Saccharomyces cerevisiae S288C: one gene and its partners. The protein of the gene in region 3 binds, or shares a complex with, the protein of the main gene of each other region. Each region holds a gene or a part of one and is shown on either strand. Other genes may lie near its edges.

Region 1 (2,609 bases), on a different chromosome or scaffold from region 3:
GTCTTACCTCTTATGCCTTATTGCGTTTTTCCAAGCATCTGCTCCATATAATAAATGTAACTACCTATCAACCAACTTCCATGTACCTTACCCAATTGGCCTACCAAGTTTTCGTTACATTGTTTCGACATGATATCTAGTTGTTTTGTCGTTTCCTGTAAATTCGTTTGAAGCTCTCTAAGTTCGTGTGCAAGCTGATTATACTGCCTTTGTTTGTTAGCGTTCATTCTCTTGCCTGAAATTCTTTGTGTCCTCTTCGTTTTGAAGTTCAAATGTTCTGATATGTTCTATTTCGCCATTTATCTTGTTGATCTTTCTTCCCACCTTTACAAAAAAATAACGTTGATTTCAATGGGCATGATATAATATGAGCAATACAAAACATCAAAGCCTTCTTAGGAGTGTTACTTTCAAACATGGATCTATAAACAAGTTATTCAATGATTAAACTATATACAGATGAAATTTTTATATCAATAAAACGATCTTTTACGTATCATTCAAAAGAATTTTGGGGCCTTTCTAATGGAAATCTTCGTCCACTTGGGCACCTTATGAATACCCTTCCTATAACCAACAGCTTTTTTATCAAAAGTCCAATATTTATCTTTAGAAGACATTTGATTCTCCTTTGGAAAGACTGATGGTTTGTTTAACAACCTTAACGATTTACTTCTTGGCTTGTATTTCTTTTTGCTCTCCATGGCTTCTTGATAAGTAAGACCTTTATCCTGACATCTTTGGACGTGGAGACCTAAAGTTAATTGCTTTATGACTTGATCAACGTTTCTTAATCTTTCCCTTTGACGGGTTTTTTGATGTGTGGACATTCTCCATGGAATTTTCCATAGTAGGCCACCAGCGACGGGGCTTGTTAATTTGAATGGGCCAAACATTGGAGTCTTATAACTTGGGTAGCCTTTTAAATACGTCTCCTTCCTACAAAGTACGGATATCTTTTTTCCCTCTTTGGCTTCCCTTTGTCCTTTTGTTATACCGTTCTCTTGAACTTTTTGAATGCTCTTGTACTTCTCCGATTATAAAGTTGAAAACGGAGTGCCCTGTATTTATACCTATGATAGTTTAGGAAGATTTAACCATAATTAAAGCCAGAGATACAAAAGTCGAATATCTTCAAGTTATCTGGAACAACTTTCATATATTTGATAAGATGGAGCAAAACAAAGATCCGCAGATGATCTCGAAACATAGTTCTAGGCTACCTATATGGGTGCTAAGTCCTCGCGAAGAACAACAGGCTCGCAAGAACTTGAAGACGGAAACATACAAAAAATGTGCAAATTTTGTTCAAGCAATGGCAGATTGTGCTAAGGCAAATGGAATGAAAGTTTTTCCCACTTGTGATAAGCAACGAGATGAAATGAAATCGTGCCTCCTGTTTTATCAAACAGATGAGAAATATTTAGATGGTGAAAGGGATAAAATTGTTTTAGAAAAAATCAACAAGCTTGAAAAGTTATGTCAAAAACAAAGCTCTACAAAATAAGCTGTGTTGATTGATGTTTTTGATTTACATCTTTTAAGGATTTTTTGATATATCCATTCTTGTACATAAATTATATACACACAGCCCAACAATAAAAAGGAAAAATTAATACGAAGGGTATATATGTATGGTATAATACTTAAGTTCACTACAACGGACGTTTATAGTCAGAATAAATCGAGGAGATCCTGTGACACTATATTGCCGCCCGAAACATCGGGATTGTTTTTACCACCAGAAGATATACCGTTTGAGTCGCCACCTAGTTTCAGCTCCTTCAACCCTTGTACAGCCTTGGTATCATTTGTATTTATTTGTGTGGCATCCTCAGATGGTCCGAAATCAAATAAATCATCCAAATCGCCTAAAGTTGTTAAAGTATTCAGCATTCCTGCATTTGTATTTGTTACATCATCTCTTTCATCAAAATCCAATAGCACATCATCGTTAGCCTTGCTAGAAATTTCATTTTTTGCCATGCTTTCTAATTCCTCTATATGTTTTCCTTTAACTATATTTTGAACATACTTTTTGCCTTTTCTCCTATTTGAGTCGGGCTTGAAATAAATGGAACTTATAGTACCCAATTCCATTAATAGTTTCTCTAGCACTTCTGGTGAAAACTTCTCCAGTGTATTGGAGATCATTGGAAGTTTATTTTGACATAGATCATTAACCAAACTTTCATTATTTGGCATCGAAAGGCATCTCCAATACATCATAGCCATATCTCGCACATCTAATTCATGTGTCTGTTGTGTGGCCAATTCTAGGACGCTTTGTAGCATACTACCCGTTAAAGTAGCATGTAGTCTGACTATTGTCATTAGTAAAGACATCTGTGTTAAAGCTTCCTCTTGAACAAAGTTCTCTATAAAAATATTGATTTTTGACTCCAAATCTGAGAAATTGTTGGGATGCTGTCCTAGCAACCAGACATAGTTGCACTTCGCAATATCTGATTGTAATAACACCTCTGGATTTGACCAAGTATTAAATACTGCACAAACTTGTTTGGCCATCTTATCGTTTCCGGGGCAATGTCTTAATAAATCACATAATGATATACAGCAGTCGTCTTTTATTGTGTCTTGTCTTTCTA
Region 2 (2,911 bases), on a different chromosome or scaffold from region 3:
TTACATATTCCCACACCTTGGCATAATTGTGTCGTGAAGGTTGAGGATGAAAAGGAGAAATACTTTTTGACAAAATCAAAAGTAGTCAAGGAGGCTCTCGAAAAGGGTATGTATGATGGTGTATGGAAAGATACTCGTTTCGATATTGGAGAAGGAGGACATTTCGTTATCAAGAAAATCTCTTAATAAAGTAAGAGCGCTACATTGGTCTACCTTTTTGTTCTTTTACTTAAACATTAGTTAGTTCGTTTTCTTTTTCTCATTTTTTTATGTTTCCCCCCCAAAGTTCTGATTTTATAATATTTTATTTCACACAATTCCATTTAACAGAGGGGGAATAGATTCTTTAGCTTAGAAAATTAGTGATCAATATATATTTGCCTTTCTTTTCATCTTTTCAGTGATATTAATGGTTTCGAGACACTGCAATGGCCCTAGTTGTCTAAGAGGATAGATGTTACTGTCAAAGATGATATTTTGAATTTCAATTGACGTAATTAATGATACTATTAATAATACAGAGCGTATATGAAGTATTGCAAATAACATGCACAGTTCTTTTGGGATGAGAATGATAATGAAAGGCGAAGGCGGGCGTTCAGAAAAGCGTTGCGGAGTAACAAGTGATTAAATAGCACCCAAATAATCTTCTTTGATACTACCGATTGCGTGAATAGAACTCACTTGACTGATACAACCTTCAATTTTAACTCTAATTCTACTTTTTATGGTGATGACATCCTCGGAACTTTGGTATGATGGTGGGTTTGAACCCGCATTAAAGGTTAAATCTTGAGGCATCAGATGCTTTGTCACAAATACTTTCATTGGACCTACTTGCACTTCGAACCCGTGCTGAGAACATGAAACGACTGTGCCGTCCACTACTTCCCCTTTAAATGGTTTGAAAACTACAGCTCTATATTTCACGTTGAACTCGGCGGACCCATCTGTGGGCAATATTCTCCCACGTTGAATATCTATATTATCATAGTCTAGGACACAAAGAATATATCCGAATTTACCCGTACACGAACCTTCAACCTCTTCCAATAGTTTTGTCTTTAGATATTGCTTCATTCGAGGACCGAAAAAGGACGGATGAAGGGTAATATTAAGCGAAAGGTCTTTAATAAAAAACATTCTCAGAAATTGAGTTATTTATACAGTGGTTGAAATGTGAATCTATTCTTGGACTTTCCCACTGTCTAATCGCAAAGGAGAATGGTGTAGGAGGAGAAACGGAAAAAGAAAGGCTATGATATTCTGGGAGAAGAGATAGGTGGACAGACCTGATCGACCCAATGTTAGAGAATAAATCGACGAAGTGAGCTTGTCTACGTTATTGGCATTTTCACTGGGATATAGGAATACCGCATTTATTTTCCTTGTATTTTTCAAAATAGCCGTTGAAACCCACAGAAGATCACTTAATACGTAATCGCGTTATACGAATTTTCTCGATGAAAAAGGGAAAACGATGGTATTAGAACTTGAAATGTACATACATTTCTTGTGGAGAACGTAACGCTACTAACAAATAATGTGCTTTGATTAGCAGGCTCCAACAGAAAAAAAAATAAAATAAAAATAAAAAGTACGCAACACCAACACAGAATATGCCACGATTGACGGTTGGAACGAAGAATATGTTGTATCCTTTGCAAAAAACACTTGCAGTAGGAAGTTGCAAGCCAGAGCAGGTTCCAATAAGATCACTAGCCTCAGTGGTGGAGAGTTCCTCCAAAATACTCGACAAAAGCGGCAGCGATCGCGAAGTAGATATAAACGTAAGCGAGAAGATTTATAAGTGGACAAAGGCGGGCATAGAGCAGGGAAAGGAGCATTTCAAAGTTGGAGGTAACAAAGTCTACTTTCCCAAGGCCAGGATCATCCTCTTGAGGCCCAACGCGAAGCACACACCGTATCAAGCAAAATTCATCGTCCCAAAATCGTTCAACAAACTGGATCTCAGAGACTATCTTTATCATATCTACGGCTTAAGAGCAATGAACATTACGACGCAGCTGCTTCATGGGAAGTTTAACCGTATGAACCTACAGACGACGCGGTTTAGAGAACCGCAGATCAAGAAAATGACTATCGAGATGGAAGAACCCTTCATTTGGCCCGAAGAACCCCGTCCGGACGAAAACTCCTTCTGGGACAGCACCACGCCTGACAACATGGAAAAGTACCGTGAAGAAAGACTTAACTGCTTGGGCTCAGACGCCAACAAACCCGGCACAGCATTCGACGGAGTCGTGGGGCCTTACGAACGGGTGGCCCAGCCTTTTATACCTCGCTTCTTAAAACGAGAGATAGACAATAAGCGAGAGCGTCACGCCGCCGAACTGCAGCGCGCAGATAAACTAATTGCCCTGAACAGGTACATAGAAGATCTACATTAGAAGGTTTCCCATTCCACCCCTTCGTTAACCCACACGCAAATACCCAGATAAGCATCTTGCACCCCTCACACTTGTATATACGGAGCAAACTACATAATCTCTAAACAGAAAAAAAAAAAAAGAAAGAAAATTAAGAACATTACTTTTTCCGAGCAACAAACGCAAAAATATATGAAGTGGCTGTAGAACATGCCTTACGGAAGAAAAGAATGATGATGGCATCCCCTTCCCCTGCCCTGGAAGGTGGCCTGTATTTCTGTTCTTTTTTTATTTTTGTTCGCGCAAAGAGCAAGAACATTGGTTGCTTTACTTATTATTTTCAGGGTCGCTTCCGCGGGATGCCATGCACGGATGCCTGCGGAGACAGTGGCGCGGAGCCGTCCGCATGCTCGTTCCGCGGAGAGTCTCGAGCGGGTCCGCGAGGGGCGGATCTGCAACGCACGGTGCCGGGGTTAAGGTATGGCACGATGGTAAGACGATGAGGGAAAAGAATACTGCTA
Region 3 (2,901 bases):
CTATATATTAAAGTAAAACAACATTGAATCAGATCGCATACTGGTGTAGACGTGAAGTAGACATATGATAATCGAGCAGGGTGCTCAATTTGGTGTGGGACACGTTTGGGAAGGTTAAAAGAAGAGGTATATCCGGATTACATTTATTTTTGGCGTATTTTAATAATTTACTAAAAGCGCGAATAGCTTCCCATTAGCAACGCTCAGGGACTCTTTCTAATGTTTATAGTAATACTTTAATAAGATGAGTACCAATTGCTTCTCTATGAGGCACAATCCCTAACCAAACTTTTATTTAGAATTACCGGTAAACTCCGTTTTCTTCATAGATTAAATATTTGGCTAAGACAACAAAATGTTCTTTCATTTTACCAAACGAGAAGGTGATAGCTGTACGCCAGAAAAGAAGGTAAAAACTCTCGCCAATCCAGCAATACCTGTACCTCTAGTTTTCGATCGCATTATGTCATTATGTAAAACCAAGGAGAGAAGCAAGTTACGGTGTTTTCATATAGAATAATTTGAGAATTCTTAATAACATAAGATATATAATCACCACCATTCTTATGAGATTCAACGTTGAATGGCGTTGCTAGACATATGAGCTGAGGAACGACTATTCGCATTTTCTTTCAAGGCAATTAATTGTCTTGCTCTGAACCCTTCATAATGAATGTAGGAAGTTGTTTCGATTAAGTCTTGGAGATGAGTTCGAATCAAAAATTCCCTTAAATATACAAAATCACACTGGTTGATATCCTCAACATTAATAGCGCTCCAACGAGTTTTTCTTCCCCTGAAGGTTTCACCGTTTATTTCAATCTCATTCTCAGAACCAACCACTGCAAACGGAATGATAGATCTAACACTTCTGTTTAGTTCTAATTCCTCGTCAGTTAGTTCTTCCGAATCATAAGGATAAATCTTGAAATTGTATTTTTCGAATTCATTTTGAATAAGCTCCCTAAACTCCGTTCTTTCATCTAAAGTCAATGTATCCGACTTGCCAATAACTGGTATAACATTTGCTATTTCTGTCAATCTTTTCAAGGCTTCAACGTCAAGGCGGCTCAACTCCTTTCCATTTGGTTGCAGGAAATAAAGAATTGCATGAACTCTTGTATCAGTAATAAACCTTTCACGTTGGGCTGTCAATTCTTTACGTAAGTATTGAGAATGTTGTTCCTTAATGTACTTCACAATAGGCTCCCAAGCTTTAGAATTGTCAATAAAGTCACCAAATCCAGGTGTATCTATAACATTAATATTCAAGCGAACGCGGTCCTCCACAAGAGTATGAGTAGAAATTTTCATTTCAGTTGTTTTTGTAACAGGCAGGGCAGAAATATCATCACCAGTAGCAGAATCAATCAAATGTGAGGCAAATAACGTATTTATTAGAGTACTTTTACCCAATCCGGATTGGCCAACAACCATTATATTAAATTGAAAACCTTTCTTCAACAGACGATGTTCGATCTGATTCGTGATGGTATCAAAACCAACATAAGAAGCAGGCTGTACTGAGCTGAGAGGATCCATTAATATATTTATAGAGTGCTTGTAGTAACCGTGGGGCTTGGCCTTGTATTTTCTTGTCTTTGCCTGAAAAAAGTTAAGTATTACTGATACATGTTTACATATATTCTATTCAGCGATTCTGATCTATTTGTGGTCTCTCGAGGAAATCTCATCGTATCATACGATTATTTCCGCAAGCATTCAGAAAGCAAATCTTAATATAAGGCACAATGTTCCCAAATAATACCTTAACTTGGAGACAAAAACACCAGGGAATATCAGCAAACAAACTATGAATTCTTTGATTTTTGGTAAACAATTAGCATTTCACAAAATTGTGCCTACCACTGCAATTGGGTGGTTGGTACCGCTAGGAAATCCTTCACTGCAGATTCCAGGCCAAAAACAACTGGGATCTATCCACCGTTGGTTGAGAGAAAAGCTACAACAAGATCATAAGGACACTGAAGATAAAGATTTTTTCTCTAATAATGGTATTCTACTAGCAGTTCCTAAAAAAAAAGTATCACACCAAAAAAAAAGGCAAAAACTTTACGGTCCAGGTAAGAAGCAATTGAAGATGATTCACCATTTGAATAAGTGCCCATCATGCGGCCATTATAAGAGAGCCAATACACTGTGTATGTATTGTGTTGGACAAATAAGTCATATATGGAAAACGCATACCGCTAAAGAAGAAATTAAGCCGAGACAAGAGGAGGAACTTTCCGAACTAGACCAAAGAGTCCTATATCCTGGTAGAAGAGATACCAAATATACCAAGGATTTGAAAGATAAAGATAACTATTTGGAACGTCGCGTTCGGACTTTAAAAAAGGACTAGGCTCATCTTTCATCTAGTGGTTTCCTTTTTAAATAAACTTAAGCCTGTATATAGAAACTTAATTTCAAACTGTATATTTATTGTTTAAGACAGCATCAATGGTAGAATACAAGGAGCGGAAACAGAAAGAAAAGTCGAAATAGAATTTTTCGCTTTTGGCTTAACAAAATGAGGTCTTTGAAATCAAGAGTTTTGCTTGACAAAAAACAACTATATTTCAAAATATTAGGAAATGATATTATTAGTACAAGGACTTACAGAAATATACTTTTAATATAAAAAGGAAAAAATAAAATAAAAAGAGTTAATTCTTTATTAATTTTCCAACGTCCTACATTGATATATCTGCTGAGATAGAATTAATGTTAGTAAGAACTAAATATTAGACGCGAACTGTTGTTTCTTACATGACAGTACAGCAGGATAATAATCCTTTGTCCTCCTTCTTTTCTGCAGTTGTAGCTGCTGCAGGTTTAGTTTGTCTCTTAGCCGCATCAGAAGTAGTGGTCTTCTTTTCAGTGGAGGGCTTGGCTTCT

What was found. The genes of interacting proteins can lie anywhere in the genome.
Region 1: MRPL32 (region 3) and MRPL31 share a complex: the UniProt entries of both Saccharomyces cerevisiae proteins name them as parts of the mitochondrial large ribosomal subunit.
Region 2: MRPL32 (region 3) and MRP20 share a complex: the UniProt entries of both Saccharomyces cerevisiae proteins name them as parts of the mitochondrial large ribosomal subunit.

Annotation. Positions count from the first base shown.
Region 1 is NC_001143.9:184,786-187,394, forward strand, and holds MRPL31 (mitochondrial 54S ribosomal protein mL60 MRPL31), read right to left. Parts: upstream 897-2,609; coding exon 501-896; downstream 1-500. Other genes in the region: HSK3 (Hsk3p), read right to left, coding at 18-227; CMC1 (Cmc1p), read left to right, coding at 1,172-1,507; APL2 (Apl2p), read right to left, coding at 1,675-2,609. UniProt on the Saccharomyces cerevisiae protein: Component of the mitochondrial ribosome (mitoribosome), a dedicated translation machinery responsible for the synthesis of mitochondrial genome-encoded proteins, including at least some of the essential transmembrane subunits of the mitochondrial respiratory chain.
Region 2 is NC_001136.10:1,276,027-1,278,937, forward strand, and holds MRP20 (mitochondrial 54S ribosomal protein uL23m MRP20), read left to right. Parts: upstream 1-1,619; coding exon 1,620-2,411; downstream 2,412-2,911. Other genes in the region: DIT1 (Dit1p), read left to right, coding at 1-186; DNA-directed RNA polymerase II subunit RPB7, read right to left, coding at 628-1,143. UniProt on the Saccharomyces cerevisiae protein: Component of the mitochondrial ribosome (mitoribosome), a dedicated translation machinery responsible for the synthesis of mitochondrial genome-encoded proteins, including at least some of the essential transmembrane subunits of the mitochondrial respiratory chain.
Region 3 is NC_001135.5:116,807-119,707, forward strand, and holds MRPL32 (mitochondrial 54S ribosomal protein bL32m MRPL32), read left to right. Parts: upstream 1-1,813; coding exon 1,814-2,365; downstream 2,366-2,901. Other genes in the region: septin CDC10, read right to left, coding at 574-1,542; YCP4 (flavodoxin-like fold family protein), read right to left, coding at 2,769-2,901. UniProt on the Saccharomyces cerevisiae protein: Component of the mitochondrial ribosome (mitoribosome), a dedicated translation machinery responsible for the synthesis of mitochondrial genome-encoded proteins, including at least some of the essential transmembrane subunits of the mitochondrial respiratory chain.